Saccharomyces cerevisiae S288C: one gene and its partners. The main gene of each other region encodes a partner of the protein of the gene in region 4 in a complex. Each region holds a gene or a part of one and is shown on either strand. Other genes may lie near its edges. The genes, in order: RPN6, RPN8, SEM1 and RPN7. A codon is read from its position in the direction of its gene.

Region 1 (5,141 bases), on a different chromosome or scaffold from region 4:
GTGTCTTTGAAGGTTAGGTTACAAATATCGCAGTAAAATCCGAACTTCTTTCCCCTCTTGAAAGACGATAAGCTCTCTGTATTTGCTGTTAGTTTCCTTTTATTTAGGTCTTTTAGCGAGCCCTTGATTAAATGATCGTAATTTGTATATTTGGATTTTAAAGCTTGTAATTCAATCGGTGTTAGCGTAGCCTTTAAGGATCGATCGTCATAGCCGCTTCTAGCCTGCTCAGCATACTCCTCTCTATCCCAAGTTCTTCTGCCAAAATTCGACATTAGCTTTCTCGAATTTTTGTCAGCTAAGGCTTGTAGGAACTTCTGGTTTTGATGAACTTTCGCATCAACTGTTTTCTATTTAGCGGCGCATTCGATTAAACTTCTTCCTTTCTTAGGAGAAAAAAAAGAAAAATCATACTTATGTATTTTCTGCATTTTATAAGTTTATTTAGGAATTCTTACTCTGGTACTTGTGAGTATACATACATATATATACATGTAAACCTAATACAAGACACTTGCCTTTTCAAATAGTTGATCGACGACTTTATTTAGTTGCCCGACTAATTCCAATGCAGAGTCGTACGTGGCATCCTGATTCGGAGTTTCGTAAACGTAAAGCCAACCATTACCTTGATCCAGAACACCGTAGAATATCTTATCTAGTATCATTTGGGAGAGCTTTCCTTCAACTTGTTGAGTATCCAGACCGATTATTTTGGAAATGTGGGATATTTCCACACATTCAAATGGCTCAATAATCTTACACAAATTGGACTCTAATAACGTGTCGTATAATGCATTGAAATGGGATCTTGTTAGTTCATCGCCCATTAGTTCCTTCTCGTATTGCTTTAGCGCCGTGTTGAAGTCTAAAAGCGATCTGTTGTTATAAGCCTCAGCGACAGCTTTCATGGCATCAATGCCTCGGGACTGGTACGTTTCCTTTGTGTATTTTGCGTTTAGGATGTTTTTTACGTCATCAATAAGGTTCAGCATGATCTTAGACAATAGCATGTATTTCAACACTTGACATGCCTTTTCGTAGGAATTATGCGTAGTCAAATTGTGGTAGCTTTCAAAACTTTCGAAGAAATACGAAAATGCAGTTTTGTAGTCTTTATCTTCACAGTGCAGGATACCACTCATCAAGTCCAGCTCCGCAACTGTTTGTGTAGGACAGTATATGGAGTTAGCGGCCGTCCTTGCTGCAGTCAACGAGGCCTTGGACTTGGCTAGATTCCTCAGTTTATGGTAAACTTTACTTTCCAATAGATGTACATCAACCAAAGAGGGCTTGTCGTCCAGCTTTTTGAACTCCCTCAAAAGATCGTTAATCAATGCTAATGAGTCCTTGTACTGTTTCTTTTGATAATGTAAGGTGGCCAATTTGATCGAGAGTGAATGCTTCAAAAACACCCTTTTTTCTCTCTTGGCAAATTCGATGCTTTTCTCGCACACAAAGATCTGATCGTCCAAGGAGTCCGGCACTTGCTCGAATTTTTCAATCAACGTTTTCAATACCTTTACCGTTTTGGATTTGGCAAATTGCATCATATACTCCGTAGAATGAGGAATAAACTCGCGCAATTTGTCCTTTGCACCCATAGTCACGTATAACTGTCCTAATTCCAATATGCTTGTCTCCTGTTCATTTCTACGCTTGTCATCCACACTGGCACCGGCAGCGGCGCTGCTCTGTGAGCTGTCTTTATCCAGCAGGCTCAAATAGACTTGTTCTGCCTCATTATACTGTTTTTCATTAACCAGTCTCCTGGCCTCTTCTAATTTCGAACCTGGCAGAGACATGAAGTTCCTCGTTTATAGATTAATCACCAATTGTCCTCTTTCAGCGCTTCTGTTAGTTGGCCTTATTTAACGGATCTTTGCTTCAATTACGCTTTCTACCAACATTTGCCACCCTTGGAACCAGAAGAGAATATACATCATTCGGGGTTGCCCTGCCCATTTATATCGTATATTGTGATGATATACCTTTTTTTTTTTTTTCGCTGCGTTTTTTTTCTCGACACGTGTCGAAGAAGAGTTTGGCGTTTCTAAGCAGATCTTGATTATTTTCGAGCAGCAAAACAAGACAAACAGGTGCATTGTTAAAGCGAGGTAGTATCAGAAGAGCCTATCAAGAAACAGCTAACAGCTACAAGCACGGTCATGTCGGAAGAGAAAACGTACAAACGTGTAGAGCAGGATGATCCCGTGCCCGAACTGGATATCAAGCAGGGCCCCGTAAGACCCTTTATTGTTACCGATCCGAGTGCCGAATTGGCCTCGTTACGAACCATGGTCACTCTTAAAGAGAAGCTGTTAGTGGCCTGTCTTGCTGTCTTTACAGCGGTCATTAGATTGCATGGCTTGGCATGGCCTGACAGCGTGGTGTTTGATGAAGTACATTTCGGTGGGTTTGCCTCGCAATACATTAGGGGGACTTACTTCATGGATGTGCATCCTCCTCTTGCAAAGATGTTGTATGCTGGTGTGGCATCGCTTGGTGGGTTCCAGGGTGATTTTGACTTCGAAAATATTGGTGACAGCTTTCCATCTACGACGCCATACGTGTTGATGAGATTTTTCTCTGCTTCTTTGGGGGCTCTTACTGTTATTTTGATGTACATGACTTTACGTTATTCTGGTGTTCGTATGTGGGTTGCTTTGATGAGCGCTATCTGCTTTGCCGTTGAAAACTCGTACGTCACTATTTCTCGTTACATTCTGTTGGACGCCCCATTGATGTTTTTCATTGCAGCTGCAGTCTACTCTTTCAAGAAATACGAAATGTACCCTGCCAACTCGCTCAATGCTTACAAGTCCTTGCTTGCTACTGGTATTGCTCTTGGTATGGCATCTTCATCCAAATGGGTTGGTCTTTTCACGGTTACATGGGTGGGTCTTTTATGTATCTGGAGACTATGGTTCATGATTGGGGATTTGACTAAGTCTTCCAAGTCCATCTTCAAAGTAGCATTTGCCAAATTGGCCTTCTTGTTGGGTGTGCCTTTTGCCCTTTATCTGGTCTTCTTTTATATCCACTTCCAATCATTAACTTTGGACGGGGATGGCGCAAGCTTCTTTTCGCCTGAATTTAGATCTACACTAAAGAACAATAAGATCCCCCAAAATGTCGTTGCTGATGTCGGCATTGGCTCCATTATCAGCTTGCGTCATCTCTCTACCATGGGCGGTTATTTGCATTCTCATTCACACAATTATCCAGCTGGTTCGGAACAACAACAAAGCACTTTATATCCTCACATGGATGCCAATAACGATTGGTTGTTGGAACTTTACAACGCACCCGGCGAATCTTTAACAACATTCCAAAACCTAACCGATGGTACCAAGGTCAGACTATTCCACACTGTTACAAGATGTAGATTACACTCTCATGACCATAAGCCACCCGTTTCAGAAAGCAGCGACTGGCAGAAGGAGGTTTCTTGTTATGGTTACAGCGGATTCGACGGTGATGCTAATGATGACTGGGTTGTTGAGATTGATAAAAAGAATTCTGCTCCTGGAGTTGCCCAAGAACGGGTCATAGCTTTGGACACAAAGTTTAGATTGAGACATGCTATGACAGGCTGTTATTTGTTTTCCCACGAAGTCAAGTTGCCAGCTTGGGGGTTCGAACAACAAGAAGTTACCTGTGCCTCCTCCGGTAGACATGATTTAACATTGTGGTACGTTGAGAACAACAGTAACCCATTGTTACCAGAAGATACCAAGCGTATTTCCTATAAACCTGCAAGCTTCATTTCTAAATTTATTGAATCCCATAAAAAGATGTGGCATATCAATAAAAATTTGGTCGAACCTCATGTTTATGAATCACAACCAACTTCATGGCCATTCTTGCTACGTGGTATAAGTTACTGGGGTGAAAATAACAGAAACGTCTATCTATTAGGTAATGCGATCGTATGGTGGGCTGTCACCGCTTTCATCGGTATTTTCGGATTGATTGTTATCACTGAGCTGTTCTCGTGGCAGTTAGGTAAACCAATTTTGAAGGACTCCAAGGTTGTTAACTTCCACGTTCAGGTTATTCACTACTTATTGGGTTTTGCCGTCCATTATGCTCCATCTTTCTTAATGCAACGTCAAATGTTTTTGCATCACTACTTACCTGCTTATTATTTCGGTATTCTTGCCCTTGGCCACGCCTTGGACATAATAGTTTCTTATGTTTTCCGCAGCAAGAGACAAATGGGCTACGCGGTAGTGATCACTTTCCTTGCTGCTTCTGTGTATTTCTTCAAGAGCTTCAGTCCAATTATTTACGGTACACCATGGACTCAAGAATTGTGTCAAAAATCGCAGTGGTTGTCTGGTTGGGACTACAATTGTAACACATACTTTTCTTCATTAGAAGAGTACAAAAACCAAACCTTGACTAAACGTGAATCTCAACCTGCCGCCACTAGTACAGTTGAAGAAATCACTATAGAAGGGGACGGTCCGTCGTATGAAGATCTCATGAACGAGGATGGCAAGAAAATCTTTAAAGACACAGAAGGTAATGAACTAGATCCAGAAGTTGTCAAAAAAATGTTGGAAGAGGAGGGAGCTAACATTTTAAAAGTAGAAAAAAGGGCTGTTTTGGAATAAATTTCCCAGTACTCTCCACATTTTTATGTAAAGTCTTCTATAAGCTCTCGAGCGTATAATTAAAAACGAAAATAGACAAAAAAAACATCATGAATAAAAAAAATGTCTTGAAGCTGACTATATTGTCCATCTGCGTTTAGAGACACGTATTCTATTTCGCTCAAATAAGTATGATCTGCAAGTAGTTTCAGTGGTATTATCATTTCGCACCGTTTTTTTTCCAAGAACTCGTTTACGTGCCGCGAAAAGTCTATCGAATAGGCATTCGAGAACAATAGAAAAGGAACAGAAGCGTAGTACATATTATGCATAGACCCGTTTCTTTTCTTCTTTTTCGAAAATATTCTTATTGATTTAACAATTAAGCAGGTGTGTAAGATCATAACTGCTTTAAAGATGAATAAAGAGCATTTGCTGAAGGTGGATCCCATCCCCGATGTGACTATTAAACGCGGCCCTTTGAGGTCTTTTCTCATAACAAAACCCTGTGATAATTTGAGTTCATTACGAACAGTTACT
Region 2 (4,700 bases), on a different chromosome or scaffold from region 4:
AGGCTTTTGTCTTTTGCGGTAAAGGTTCCAATTTGGCTCCCTTCACCCAGCCAGATTTTCCATTCCAAACGCAGAACAAAGACAGTACAGCTGCCACGAGCGGTGACAAACTTAATGAGTTGGTCAATAGCGCCCTCGATTCAACTGTCATAAATGAGTTCATGCAACATTCAACGCGCTTGCCCAAGGCTCTTTTGCCCATCGGTAATAGACCTATGATTGAATACGTCTTGGATTGGTGTGATCAGGCAGATTTCAAAGAAATCAGTGTGGTCGCACCCGTTGACGAAATCGAATTAATTGAAAGTGGACTGACTTCGTTTTTGTCCCTAAGAAAGCAACAATTTGAACTAATATACAAGGCTTTGTCAAATTCCAACCACAGTCATCACTTGCAAGATCCTAAGAAAATTAATTTCATCCCTTCGAAGGCAAATTCTACAGGTGAGTCCTTGCAAAAAGAGCTTTTGCCTAGAATCAATGGCGATTTTGTAATCTTGCCCTGTGATTTTGTCACAGATATACCTCCACAAGTCTTGGTCGATCAATTTAGGAATAGGGATGATAATAACCTAGCAATGACTATCTACTATAAGAACTCTTTAGATAGTAGTATCGATAAAAAGCAACAGCAAAAGCAAAAACAACAGCAATTTTTCACTGTTTATTCAGAAAACGAAGACTCAGAGAGGCAGCCAATACTTTTGGACGTTTATTCTCAAAGGGACGTCACAAAGACAAAATATCTACAGATCAGATCTCATTTATTATGGAACTATCCAAATTTAACAGTATCCACTAAGTTACTGAACTCATTCATCTACTTTTGTTCCTTTGAACTTTGCCAGTTGTTAAAATTAGGACCTCAATCAATGTCAAGACAAGCTTCATTCAAAGATCCATTTACTGGAAACCAACAACAGCAAAACCCTCCTACTACTGATGATGATGAAGATCGCAATCATGATGATGACGATGATTACAAACCTTCGGCTACATCTATCCAGCCTACCTACTTCAAAAAAAAGAATGATCTCATCTTGGACCCAATAAACTGTAATAAATCATTGAGTAAGGTTTTTAGAGATTTATCTCGTCGTTCGTGGCAACATTCGAAACCGAGGGAACCAATAGGTATTTTTATTTTACCAAACGAAACCTTGTTCATCAGAGCCAATAACTTGAATGCTTACATGGACGCTAATAGATTTGTACTAAAGATAAAATCACAAACGATGTTCACGAAAAATATACAGATTCAATCTGCCGCTATCGGTGCTGATGCCATAGTAGATCCCAAATGCCAAATCTCTGCTCATAGTAATGTCAAGATGTCTGTTCTCGGTACTCAGGCCAATATTGGTTCCAGATGTCGTGTTGCAGGGTCTCTCTTATTTCCTGGAGTCCATCTTGGTGACGAAGTAATCCTGGAAAATTGTATTATTGGACCTATGGCAAAAATCGGTTCAAAGTGTAAACTCAGCAATTGTTATATCGAAGGCCATTATGTTGTGGAGCCTAAAAATAACTTTAAAGGTGAAACACTGGCCAACGTTTATTTGGATGAAGATGAGGAGGACGAGTTAATATATGATGATAGTGTTATTGCTGGAGAAAGTGAAATCGCCGAAGAAACTGACAGTGATGATAGAAGCGATGAAGATTCTGATGATAGTGAATATACCGACGAGTACGAGTACGAAGATGACGGATTATTTGAGCGTTAATATAAACTTATGTATATTCCTTCAGTCTCTTTAATAGAGACCAAGTAAGTAAGTGGACGAGAATAGAGGCGATATTATGCATTTATATTTGAAATTCAACAGAACATAATTATGCTTAAGCAAATTAACATGTTGTATTAATACATAGCGTTTTACACATCTATTTCATATATTATGTTATGTTAATTTTTGAATTAATTTTTCTTGTTCTTTCGTTGGATCAATGGCGCAGTTGCTTCTTTGTCACCACTCTCACTCTCACTGTCATCAGAGACTTTTGATTGTTTGTCCTTTACTCTTTGTTCTTGAATTTTTTTATTTTGAATTTTGTTTTCAATCAAATCATCAAACGCGATAATTGACCTAACCAAATTGCTTATATATATAACCATTAATTCATCATTAGTTTTCACAGTTAAAGCCTTTTGTAAGTTATTTGAAATATTAATTCTGTCATGATTCTCCACATCTATTTCGTCATCATCAGGTGTTCCCAGATTTGGTAAAAGGTTGAAAACATCTTGTAGCTTGCCCAATATAGTGTGGTTTATCGGTAATTCCTTATTAATGACTTTGTCTAAGTACTCGACAACGTCTTTTAGTTTGCTTTGTAATCCTTTCAAAGATTTTAATTGGTTGGTCAACCGGATAGATAAGCCACCTGCTGCTTGATCACGTACGTCTCTCAATAAGTGTTCTACACCAATTTCTTCAGCTTCTTCGGCCTCAATAGTACAAGGCAAATGAAGAAACGTCTTTTCTGTAGACGTACCATCATCCTTAACTTGCTCAATCGCGACATATGCATCTGTTGGTAAACCAACACCTTGTTGTTTGACATCAACAATTAATAATAGCGGATTATTCTGAGTATATTTTTTAAACAGCTCATTAATCTTGAGGTCAGAAGCCCTTAATTTAGGACCACTATGATACCATCCAATGAGTTTTTCCTTGGCATTAATCTTTTTACACATTTCATTCATGTTTTCAATATAATTATGGTCTAAAAACCACACGTCAGAGTTTTTCTCATCTTCTTCAAACGGTAAGGCAAAGGAATTAGTGACTCTGATAGTGGAACTGTTAGCATCACCTAAGATGACACCAACGCATCTTTTGTTTTCTTTTGTCTGCGTACGCTCATAATGATCCAAAGCAGATAGCAAAACTAGTGGTGCAATGGTAACTTTCTCGTGTTGTAGAGACATTGTAATTTGATTTTCCTTTCTTTCTTTCTTTTTTTAAATTCGAAAAATGCCCTCAATCAGTAGCAGTTGTACAGAAAGCCAACGTTACACTATAGATTGCTTAGCTGTTGGCTTCACAATTATTTCATTGTAGATTCTACGTTACGTGCAACTTGAGTAACGATTTGCCACTGAGGTATCCCCGAACTTTAGTAAAATCAAATTTCGTAATAAGTGATTAGGAATATTGCTACTTAAAGTAAGTGATGCTCATTGAAAGATTGCATTGTGAGTCTTCACTACTTACCGTAATAGAATGGTTTGTTTTCATTTGATTGTTGTTGTGTCAATAGTTTTGATTTTCTACTAGAGAGTACAATAATGCCCTTCGCTCAGATTGTTATTGGTCCACCAGGTTCAGGGAAGTCAACCTATTGCAACGGCTGCTCACAGTTCTTCAATGCCATCGGAAGACATTCCCAGGTAGTGAATATGGATCCTGCTAATGATGCCTTACCTTACCCATGCGCTGTGGATATTCGTGATTTTATAACATTAGAGGAGATCATGCAAGAGCAACAGTTAGGCCCTAATGGAGGTTTGATGTATGCTGTTGAATCATTGGATAATTCTATTGATTTGTTCATTTTACAGATCAAGTCACTTGTAGAAGAAGAAAAAGCATATCTTGTATTCGACTGTCCGGGCCAAGTGGAGCTATTTACTCATCACTCATCTTTGTTCAACATCTTTAAAAAAATGGAAAAGGAATTGGACATTAGGTTTTGTGTTGTAAATTTGATTGACTGTTTTTACATGACATCCCCTTCACAATATATCTCGATTTTGTTACTTGCATTGAGGTCTATGTTAATGATGGATCTCCCTCACATCAACGTTTTTTCTAAAATAGATATGCTGAAATCATACGGAGAATTACCCTTTAGATTAGACTATTATACAGAGGTCCAGGATCTGGATTATTTGGAGCCATATATTGAAAAGGAAGGCTCTAGTGTACTGGGAAAGAAATATAGCAAGTTAACTGAAACAATCAAAGAGCTAGTCTCAGATTTCAACTTAGTATCATTTGAGGTTTTGTCCGTGGATGACAAAGAAAGTATGATAAATCTTCAAGGTGTTATAGATAAAGCAAATGGCTACATATTCGGCGCATCCGAAGTTGGTGGTGATACCGTGTGGGCTGAGGCTTCGCGAGAAGGTGCATTAATAGCGAATTACGACATTCAAGACAGGTGGATAGACAATAAAGAGAAGTATGATAAAGAAGAAGAAGAAAAACGTACGGCGTTGTTAAAAGAACAAGAATTGCAAAATAAAGCTGTTGATGTGAATGAAGAAGATGAGTGGGAAAATGCGCTGAAGGAGTGGGAAGAGAAACAAGGAATGGATTTTGTTAGGTAGCGTGTTCAGGTATCTTTTTCTCGTTCAGCCGTGGAACTTAATTCAAAATTGAAAATTGTATACAGAGTATATATGCATATAATTGAAAGCAGCTTACTACGAAATGTTCTTGAATTGCTGGCCGAGTTGCAAATCAGCTGCAAAGGACAGAACCCTATGTCTGAACATGATTGCTTTCGTACCCTGAAAGCCAGCGCTACTAATTAACCAGGTTGACCAGCCTTCACTCATTCGCGGCGACAGCAAAAGCGGAAGAAGAAAAAAATAACCAGCAAACTGTCAATGGGTTTCTAGGAGGAAAAAGAACAAGTTAAAAATGATTAGCACCAACAACGTTGCCTATATCTGTCATTGGGCA
Region 3 (3,791 bases), on a different chromosome or scaffold from region 4:
ATGAAAGAGTCTGTAGTTGAAATAAACTCATCTGAATCTGACTTAGACGAAGACAAAAATTTTCCCAGATCTAGGTCAAGGTCCAGGTCAAGCATAAGATCAATATCTCCAGCGGGAAAATACAAGCGACAGAAAAGTTCATTACTGTATACCTATGATGAAAACGATGACTTTTTCAAGGAACTTGCTAAAGAAGCCAAAAAAAGCACCACTATTTCTAAAGAATCGACACCCGACCAGCGGAAGCGAGTTTATAACATCAAATTTCTCTCTAAGCTAGAAGGAACTATAAATAAAGCGGTCCAAGTGAAGGTCCTCGGAAAATACGAATTTTCAAAAATACTTCCTGCTGCTTTGGACGGATTGATGAAGTCCTATAAAATTCCGAAGGTAATGAAAGATATATACAAGGTAGAGAATGTTACTCTTTATTGGAACAATGCAAAATTACTCACTTTTATGACTTGTAATTCGCTACATATCCCACAGGATTTTGAAAATGAAGTCTCTGATATCGATGTTACTATCGTATCCAAAGAATACGAAAAGAACTTTGAAGCGACACTGGAATCAAAGTTAAAGGAAGAAGAAGCTGCTTTACTCATAAAAGAACGTCAGGAGATGGAAAGGAAGTTAGAGAAAAAGAGAAATGAACAAGAAGAGTCCGAATATCGCGAGTTTGAATCCGAATTAAAAAACGTAGAAGAAACACAAGAAATAAAAGAAAATGATACAGTTATGAATACAAAACTTCTGCAAGAGGGTGGCTCTTTGTCAGGAAATAGTAGTAGCATGGAAGAAGTTATGAGAATCGCTCTCATGGGTCAAGATAACAAAAAAATCTATGTCCATGTTAGGCGTTCAACACCATTTTCTAAAATTGCCGAATATTACAGAATCCAGAAACAGTTACCACAAAAGACGAGGGTTAAATTACTTTTTGATCATGATGAATTGGACATGAATGAGTGTATAGCCGATCAGGATATGGAAGATGAAGACATGGTTGATGTCATTATTGATTGAGCGCAATTTGCTAAAAAAGGCCGAACTCCGGCTCTTTACGTGCCACAATTATTATTTACTATGGGCGGCGGGTGTGTTGGTGGTGCTTGCGGTACTTGTAAAATATTTTCTGAATATAATTGAATAAGACCTTTTGTGTTTAAATCATACTCGGGTAATTCTCTGTTCAAAAAGTAGGTGCTGACCCTCTTCTACCTTCCGTGAAATATTATAAAGGAATTTTTCCATCTCTAACTCAACATGTTAACGCTTTTCTATAAAAATTTGATCGCCTAATGAATACAAAAATCTCTTCAGCTTTTTCGTGCTAGGTTTGAATAGTACATCTAACGTAGAACAACTATCAAAACAATTTGATATTTCCTCGGCTATAGTTTTCTTGGAACAAGAGGTAAACTACTTCTCTATTGTTGCTACAGCAGTCAATTAAAATAATTCGTTTCATCATAATATTATGATATCAACGCTAAAAGGTTGTATAAATTACGAGATCAGCAGAAAATAAAATTCAAGCCATCATCCTTTAAGGTGATTTGAAGGGCAAGAATTGGTAGTGTAACTGCATCAATGAGTGATTAGGTGAAAACGAAGAAAAATAATAAATATGGTACTGTGCAGAATTGTTGATTTTCTTTTTTGAACTCTAAACCATCAAGAATGGCTTTCACCCACTATTGTTACACATAGTACTATTACTTACACCAAGATGGGATCCGACAAATATCTCAACACTATATTGGTCTACATGCTTTATCGATTGCTCCTTATTTACGTATTTCTATAAATAGGGCGTACTTTACCAACAGTGATCATGGATGCAAAAAATGTGAATACATTTATATGGAAAAAAGGTTTATATCAATATATTTTAAAGTGATTGAAAATTACTGATGTGTTTGATATTGTTGGAATAAGAATCAACCATCATATACCCGACTAACGTTCATATTATTAGTAAACTATCATATACAACCTAAGAAGTTGACATAAAGATTGACAAGCAGTTACCATTTTTAGTAGAAGTTGAAAAGCAAGAATTGATAACCAAATATTGTTTTCCAACAATGCAATCCCAACCCTATCTCAATATTCATAGAATTCACTTATTTCTCAGTTTAATACATGATGATGCATCTTGATATTGAGAAATTATATGTATTATCCCTTTTTAACCTTTAAAAGGTCACAAATAAATAGCCTTGTTGGCGCAATCGGTAGCGCGTATGACTCTTAATCATAAGGTTAGGGGTTCGAGCCCCCTACAGGGCTAATAACACATTCAAAATGTTATAAATTTTTTTTCGGGTTTGTGTTTAAAACTAACCTTCTAAAGAAAACAATAAAAATTATATCAACATTTCCTCATGTCTTTGTAACCTACTAGTAGGGATTTTGAAGGGCTGAAAGCTTCTTAGTTCTGTCGGATCCATTATATTATCATTATTTACGAAACTAGTGCTATGGGTGGCGAACGTGGTGGGCGTTACCTTTTAAAGTCCTAATGGAAACCTACCTATGCATAAAGTGAATAGAGTGGCAATAAAAGTCGAATAATAGTACAAATACGCAAAAATATGAGTACGGACGTTGCTGCTGCACAAGCCCAAAGTAAAATAGATTTAACAAAAAAAAAAAATGAGGAAATAAATAAGAAGTCTCTAGAGGAAGACGATGAATTTGAAGATTTCCCCATTGACACATGGGCCAATGGTGAAACAATAAAAAGCAATGCTGTAACGCAAACAAACATATGGGAAGAAAACTGGGATGATGTTGAAGTTGACGACGATTTCACCAATGAATTGAAGGCCGAATTGGATAGATACAAACGGGAAAATCAGTGAGGGGCTACATAACATTATTTCTAAATAACGCAAAAGGAAATTATACGTCTAATGTTACTTTAGTACATTGTTGTCATACTAGTATATTTTGCTTAGATGATAAAATAAATAATAAAAAGAGATACGAAAGGCTATGCGGTAGTCGATTATATGGCCTTGTAGTATAATAATGATGCACGCAAAGTATTAAATAACTCAGCTGAGATTTCTCATTTCTTTAAATGCAGTCTCAGTTTAAAAAATTAACTATATTAAGATCCGCTCTTTCTACCATATGATGCAAATGTGTCCTCGAACTAGTACTTGCAATTTCAGGTAACCCCAATCGTTTCTTTATTATTGTCATTTTTACTATCATAATAATATCATCCGTAATAACAATTAAGTAACAAATCACATCCATGTAACCATTTAATTTGTTTCAAGTAACATTCCGAGTGAATAGCTAGTCACATACATATATCTTACCTGCCGCTCCGCTGCAAATGACTTTACTTGTTTCTTGAGGATGCCAGTCCACTTGAGTTATAGGCTTGTTGCCTGGAATCTTGATGTTATTTAATAAGCGCGACGTATTCCAATCCCAAGTAAATAGTCTGCTTTTTGAATCGCCTGAACATATGTAACGACCATCACCAGAAAAAGCCAAGCTTATCCCATAACCAGCAGATGAATGCCCTTTAAATATCTTTTTTGGATGCCTCTTATATTTGGGTTTCAAACTGAAAGAATATATTCTATTATCCATGCTTTGTGCACAGAAATAGTTCTGAGACGGATGTACATTTAAAAATGGCATAGAATGTTGAGCCGTGTCACTTATTTGTTTTATTGGTACATTGATCTGATTTTCCCAAATTCTTACCGTCTTATCCTCTGAAGAAGAAATAAACTTCGAACCATCGGGAAAATACTTGAGAG
Region 4 (4,968 bases):
TGATGGTTCCTTTCCATCCATAAGTAACAATAGTAAGGGTTTTGCTTATCGCCAACCGCAAAAACATAAAAGTAACTTCGCATATTCACATCTGGTATCTCCTGTAGAGGAGCCGACAGCTAAATTCAGTGAGGCATTCCAGACAGATTATTCTAGTAAGGCGCCCGTTGCTACCTCGGAGGCGCACCTAAAGAACGATTTAGACGTATTGTTCACTACCCCCCGGTTTTACTCTCCGGAGAATTTGGCTTTAATGTTCCGTCTTTCTAATACAGTTTCTTCCCTAGAATTTCTGGATGAGTTTTTGATGGGCATATTACTTGCTCCAGAGATGGATTTTTTGTCAAATCCAAGTTATTCTCTTCCGTCTAACAAATTAGTGGGACAGGGAAGTTATTCATATGTGTACCCTATATCATCAAGTGCTTCATCAAGATGTAACAACGATTCAGGGGTTGTTTTAAAGTTTGCCAAATCACAGCATAAAAGCAAGGTGATTTTACAGGAAGCTTTGACGCTAGCATATCTCCAGTACATGAGTCCTTCAACCAATGAAAGTCATATTATTCCATTCTATGGGTTGACATACATAACTAAATCCCATTTTAGAAGACTGAGGTCCAACGAATGTGTTCCTGGCCTTATTCTTCCGAAATGCGAAATGAGTTTATATCACTTCAATACAGCAGTGTCACATAAGCTTTCGTTGATAACAAAAAGAAAAATATGGTGGAGACTTATGAAGCAAATGATAGACGCATTAAAATCTTTGAAAACAAATGGTATAATTCATGGTGATATAAAAACAGCAAATATTTTAATAACAGAAATGCATGTTCTTAATGGAGGCCATTGTAAGGATTTTGACTTCTACCTTGCTGACTTTACGTCGGCATTTCACATTAATCAAACACCAACAGATCTGAATACCACGGTAGAATACTGTGCACCAGAACTAATTGATAGCTCCTCCGATCATGTTCCTACATTTGAATCGGATTTGTATGCCGTGGGGCTTTGTCTTTTATCATTTATATCGCAGCATGAGCCTTACAACGAACTTCAGGCGTTAGTGTCGCATGGATCCTCTCCAGGTATTGGCAGTTCATCTATACAGCAGTCCCAATGGCTGATAAATGCTCTTTTGAAAAAAGATCCTATAAATCTAAACATGTTAAGAAACGATTTATTCCAGGATTGGAAGTCAGAACTAGCATTATTGTCCAGAATTCTGGTTGATAGACTTCCTCTAGAAAATCTCATAACTATACTCGATAGTAACTATATATGATAATATACATGTCTATGAAATCGAAAACCCCCAGCCATGCATAGATCAAACTTCACCGTTTATAATTGCGTTTAAACGCCTTTCCTTTTCTTCATCCATTTTCCTGGTATTTATCTCATCGTCTCTCTTAATTCTTAATTTACTACCTTCATCTGGGATTATGAACTGTGGATGTTCCATATCACATTCATCCTTCCCTAAAGGACAAAATCCGGTCATGTATCTTTGACAGAAAACCTTCTTAATATGCCGTCTAGGACAAGAACTCCCCAGAGGACAGAATCCCATTTCGTAATTTTCACATTTTGGTATCTTGCTAGCGGGATCTATGTGTAGATATTGACAATCTGGACTTTGTGTACAGTACCCGTTTTTGCTGAAGAAGACACATTCAGGCATTTTTCGAAGATTGTATTCATGTAAGTATTCACATTGGTCATTCTTTTTGCACAACCCTCGAAGCCAATGTCTACAAACAATTTTATTCTGAAATATTGGTAACACATGCTTTTTTGGACATAACGGTCCCCTCGGACATGATTTAGGGCCTTCTCTAGAATTGTAAAATTCACAAATAGGTCTGTCAGGATCGAGTGAAAACGAATACTCTTGCCTGAGGAAAGGTTCAAATTTAAAAGGATATTTTGCTGTATCGGGGTGAATTAGGCTCATTACATAAACTTATTGATTTTATTCGTCCTAGAATACTTGTTTAAGATACAGTGCAGAAATCTTTAGCTTATAATTCAGAAATGTGATATTTTGAAGCGATTGGAACAACAAAGTACAGTGCATTCTATATAATTATTAAAAGTTATAGTGGACTATTGTAATAACACTTGTTTTCCCCATATCATAACCGACGGCGCGTAAATGCATGCTCAATCAAGTTTCCGAATAAGTTAAGTTTGCCACCCATTGAGGATTAATATACACAAGGCAGCATTGAAAAACCTAATTGTTAACACTACACAAATCTCTATTGTTGTAGTAAACTGCGCTTTTTACCACTGTTACAATAGTTACTAATACACGCAAAAATTCTGGATAAACACGGCAAAATGGTAGACGTGGAAGAGAAAAGTCAAGAAGTTGAATATGTTGATCCAACGGTGAATAGGGTGCCCAATTATGAGGTATCTGAAAAGGCGTTTCTTTTGACACAATCAAAGGTTAGTATTGAACAGCGTAAGGAAGCGGCAGAGTTCGTTTTAGCCAAAATTAAAGAGGAAGAAATGGCCCCTTATTATAAATATCTTTGCGAGGAATACCTTGTTAATAATGGCCAATCTGACTTGGAACACGATGAAAAGTCAGATTCTTTAAACGAATGGATCAAATTTGACCAGGAGCTATACAATGAATTGTGCAAAAAAAATGAAAGTAAGATTAAAGAGTTAAATGAAAAGATCCAAAAATTGGAAGAAGATGATGAAGGTGAACTAGAACAAGCTCAAGCCTGGATTAATCTGGGTGAATATTATGCACAAATCGGTGACAAAGATAATGCTGAAAAGACGCTAGGGAAATCATTATCGAAGGCTATTTCCACAGGCGCCAAAATTGATGTTATGCTAACAATTGCAAGGCTGGGGTTCTTTTATAACGACCAACTTTATGTTAAGGAGAAGTTGGAAGCAGTCAATTCTATGATTGAAAAAGGTGGTGACTGGGAGAGAAGAAATAGATATAAAACATACTATGGTATCCACTGCTTGGCCGTAAGAAACTTTAAGGAAGCGGCAAAGTTATTGGTCGATTCTCTAGCAACTTTCACCTCTATTGAATTAACTTCCTATGAAAGCATTGCCACATATGCATCGGTCACAGGTTTATTCACTCTGGAAAGAACAGACCTAAAATCCAAAGTCATCGATTCACCTGAATTGTTATCTTTAATCTCAACAACTGCCGCACTACAATCTATCTCGTCGTTAACAATTTCCCTTTACGCGTCCGATTATGCCAGTTACTTTCCATATCTTTTGGAAACATATGCAAATGTTTTGATTCCATGTAAATATTTGAATAGACATGCAGATTTCTTTGTTAGAGAAATGAGAAGAAAAGTCTACGCACAATTGTTGGAATCATATAAGACTTTGTCGCTGAAATCTATGGCAAGCGCATTTGGTGTTTCGGTTGCGTTCTTGGATAACGACCTGGGTAAGTTTATTCCAAATAAGCAACTAAATTGTGTCATTGATAGAGTTAATGGGATCGTAGAGACCAACAGGCCAGACAACAAAAATGCTCAATACCATCTGCTAGTTAAGCAAGGTGACGGTTTGCTAACAAAATTACAAAAATACGGTGCAGCAGTGAGATTGACAGGGTCAGATCGTGTTTGAGGAATTTACATTATTTAGCAACGCACATAATCACATCAACATGTATACATAGTTTGGAGACTTGAGTAAATAGTAGTGAGAGGATATATGGATCGGTTCAAGTCAAAGGATTGTAATCATCCTCTTTCTCCTTTAAAACGGAGAGCTTCTATAGTTTTCAAGCTTCCATTAAAAATTTCAGTATTTAGTTCGGAAAGTTACATAATTGCAATGTCTCATAAAGGACCATGCTTCTTTTGAAAGTGAGGAATCTAAGGCTGAAAATGCCAATTCTTAAAAAGTAGTATAACCAGAAAAAGGAATCCCCATAAAAGGAAATTCATGATACGGTCATTGTTTCTTCATTTGTTTAATACGTTGTATTCGAGTGTTCTAGCCAATAAACGATTCAACTAAAACACTTCTGGTTCGCTTTTAGGGATATCGTTGAAATGAAATCACTCCATGATAGTTTAAGTGTTACAGACATTAAGAGAAGTCGGCTGCAAATTTCCATGCAGACACTTTGTCCCTTCTTGGAGGATACCCTACAGTGTAAAAGCCTCCTTAGCTTAGTGGTAGAGCGTTGCACTTGTAATGCAAAGGTCGTTAGTTCAATTCTGACAGGTGGCAAAATTTTTTCCCTAAAGTTAACACTTATTTAGCTTCTTTTTATATAAAAAATCCATGAGAATTGATTCTGCATTTTAGTTTAAATTTTTTCTTTAAGACTATGATGCTTTCATGCACAAGGTTATATTGTTCTCCTTCTCTATAGTTATTGCAAGGAAATCATATATAACGAAACACAATTTGATCCTTTTGAACCTACATTATCCCGCACTCTTGACGTATCATCAAATAAAGCTAAACTGCGGAAGCCTAAAAATACTAAGCACGCTATTTGTCATCCATTAGCAGGCCAAAAGCAAACTAATCTATGTTTTCAATAAGGCCAATATAATAATGGATAATTTTGAAAGTACTGCTGAAGGAAATTTAAGTATAGGAAACAAACGAGTATACGAACTACGAAAAAGAAACTTCCAAAGAAATTTGGTGAATAATTTGAGCTTTCTCGGGTATGTTTTAATATCATTGGAATATATCAAGTATGATCGTACCGTCTGGACACTTATAACAAGAGCAATAGTGCAATCTCTCATAAGTTCTCCTTTTCCAAGTGATGCCAAGTTACGTAGGCTAGCGACCCTCGGTGCAGATAATAACACGACGGGGGTTGCAACACTTCCAGGCGGAAGATCTATCAGGTTTCCCGGAATGTTTGGAACAGAAATGCTTTATAATTCTTCTAGTGAAGCTGAGCAACAAGACCATGATGATACC

What was found.
Region 1: the proteins of RPN7 (region 4) and RPN6 are in contact, whole or in part, in a cryo-EM structure (PDB 5MPC), measured with the Saccharomyces cerevisiae proteins. Residues at the interface, in NP_015433.1 of Saccharomyces cerevisiae: Arg263 (codon at 3,139), Pro274 (codon at 3,172), Leu277 (codon at 3,181), Ser278 (codon at 3,184), Leu279 (codon at 3,187), Ile280 (codon at 3,190), Tyr297 (codon at 3,241), Ser299 (codon at 3,247), Gln340 (codon at 3,370), Glu343 (codon at 3,379), Ser344 (codon at 3,382), Tyr345 (codon at 3,385), Lys346 (codon at 3,388), Thr347 (codon at 3,391), Leu348 (codon at 3,394), Ser349 (codon at 3,397), Ser352 (codon at 3,406), Asp394 (codon at 3,532), Asn395 (codon at 3,535), Lys396 (codon at 3,538), Gln399 (codon at 3,547), Tyr400 (codon at 3,550), Leu402 (codon at 3,556), Leu403 (codon at 3,559), Gln406 (codon at 3,568), Gly407 (codon at 3,571), Gly409 (codon at 3,577), Leu410 (codon at 3,580), Lys413 (codon at 3,589), Leu414 (codon at 3,592); in NP_010186.1 of Saccharomyces cerevisiae: Lys152 (codon at 1,352), Leu188 (codon at 1,244), Arg189 (codon at 1,241), Asn190 (codon at 1,238), Ala192 (codon at 1,232), Glu374 (codon at 686), Ser378 (codon at 674), Gln379 (codon at 671), Ile381 (codon at 665), Leu382 (codon at 662), Asp383 (codon at 659), Lys384 (codon at 656), Gly388 (codon at 644), Val389 (codon at 641), Leu390 (codon at 638), Asp391 (codon at 635), Gln392 (codon at 632), Gly393 (codon at 629), Pro403 (codon at 599), Asn404 (codon at 596), Gln405 (codon at 593), Asp406 (codon at 590), Tyr409 (codon at 581), Asp410 (codon at 578), Ala412 (codon at 572), Leu413 (codon at 569), Val416 (codon at 560), Gly417 (codon at 557), Leu419 (codon at 551), Asn420 (codon at 548).
Region 2: the proteins of RPN7 (region 4) and RPN8 are in contact, whole or in part, in a cryo-EM structure (PDB 3J47), measured with the Saccharomyces cerevisiae proteins. Residues at the interface, in NP_015433.1 of Saccharomyces cerevisiae: Tyr400 (codon at 3,550), Leu403 (codon at 3,559), Leu410 (codon at 3,580), Leu414 (codon at 3,592), Tyr417 (codon at 3,601), Gly418 (codon at 3,604), Val421 (codon at 3,613); in NP_014904.3 of Saccharomyces cerevisiae: Met274 (codon at 2,119), Ile278 (codon at 2,107), Ile285 (codon at 2,086), Phe288 (codon at 2,077), Asp289 (codon at 2,074), Ile292 (codon at 2,065), Ile296 (codon at 2,053).
Region 3: the proteins of RPN7 (region 4) and SEM1 are in contact, whole or in part, in a cryo-EM structure (PDB 5MPE), measured with the Saccharomyces cerevisiae proteins. Residues at the interface, in NP_015433.1 of Saccharomyces cerevisiae: Phe305 (codon at 3,265), Leu308 (codon at 3,274), Leu309 (codon at 3,277), Tyr312 (codon at 3,286), Asp327 (codon at 3,331), Val330 (codon at 3,340), Arg331 (codon at 3,343), Arg334 (codon at 3,352), Lys351 (codon at 3,403), Ser355 (codon at 3,415), Gly358 (codon at 3,424), Val359 (codon at 3,427), Ser360 (codon at 3,430), Phe363 (codon at 3,439), Asn366 (codon at 3,448), Asp367 (codon at 3,451), Lys370 (codon at 3,460); in NP_010651.3 of Saccharomyces cerevisiae: Asp65 (codon at 2,793), Glu68 (codon at 2,802), Val69 (codon at 2,805), Asp70 (codon at 2,808), Asp71 (codon at 2,811), Asp72 (codon at 2,814), Phe73 (codon at 2,817), Asn75 (codon at 2,823), Glu76 (codon at 2,826), Lys78 (codon at 2,832), Ala79 (codon at 2,835), Leu81 (codon at 2,841), Asp82 (codon at 2,844), Arg86 (codon at 2,856).

Annotation. Positions count from the first base shown.
Region 1 is NC_001136.10:284,891-290,031, forward strand, and holds RPN6 (proteasome regulatory particle lid subunit RPN6), read right to left. Parts: upstream 1,806-5,141; coding exon 501-1,805; downstream 1-500. Other genes in the region: U4/U6-U5 snRNP complex subunit SNU23, read right to left, coding at 1-275; dolichyl-phosphate-mannose-protein mannosyltransferase PMT1, read left to right, coding at 2,169-4,622; putative dolichyl-phosphate-mannose-protein mannosyltransferase PMT5, read left to right, coding at 5,019-5,141. UniProt on the Saccharomyces cerevisiae protein: Component of the lid subcomplex of the 26S proteasome, a multiprotein complex involved in the ATP-dependent degradation of ubiquitinated proteins. In the complex, RPN6 is required for proteasome assembly.
Region 2 is NC_001147.6:813,994-818,693, forward strand, and holds RPN8 (proteasome regulatory particle lid subunit RPN8), read right to left. Parts: upstream 2,939-4,700; coding exon 1,922-2,938; downstream 1-1,921. Other genes in the region: GCD1 (translation initiation factor eIF2B subunit gamma), read left to right, coding at 1-1,727; GTPase GPN2, read left to right, coding at 3,299-4,342. UniProt on the Saccharomyces cerevisiae protein: Acts as a regulatory subunit of the 26S proteasome which is involved in the ATP-dependent degradation of ubiquitinated proteins.
Region 3 is NC_001136.10:1,199,528-1,203,318, forward strand, and holds SEM1 (proteasome regulatory particle lid subunit SEM1), read left to right. Parts: upstream 1-2,600; coding exon 2,601-2,870; downstream 2,871-3,791. Other genes in the region: ESC2 (Esc2p), read left to right, coding at 1-1,026; CDC40 (Cdc40p), read right to left, coding at 3,316-3,791. UniProt on the Saccharomyces cerevisiae protein: Versatile protein that might stabilize multiple protein complexes involved in diverse pathways. Subunit of the 26S proteasome which plays a role in ubiquitin-dependent proteolysis.
Region 4 is NC_001148.4:740,102-745,069, forward strand, and holds RPN7 (proteasome regulatory particle lid subunit RPN7), read left to right. Parts: upstream 1-2,352; coding exon 2,353-3,642; downstream 3,643-4,968. Other genes in the region: putative protein kinase ISR1, read left to right, coding at 1-1,291; cleavage polyadenylation factor RNA-binding subunit YTH1, read right to left, coding at 1,337-1,963; GLD1 (Gld1p), read left to right, coding at 4,588-4,968. UniProt on the Saccharomyces cerevisiae protein: Component of the 19S cap proteasome complex which acts as a regulatory subunit of the 26S proteasome, involved in the ATP-dependent degradation of ubiquitinated proteins.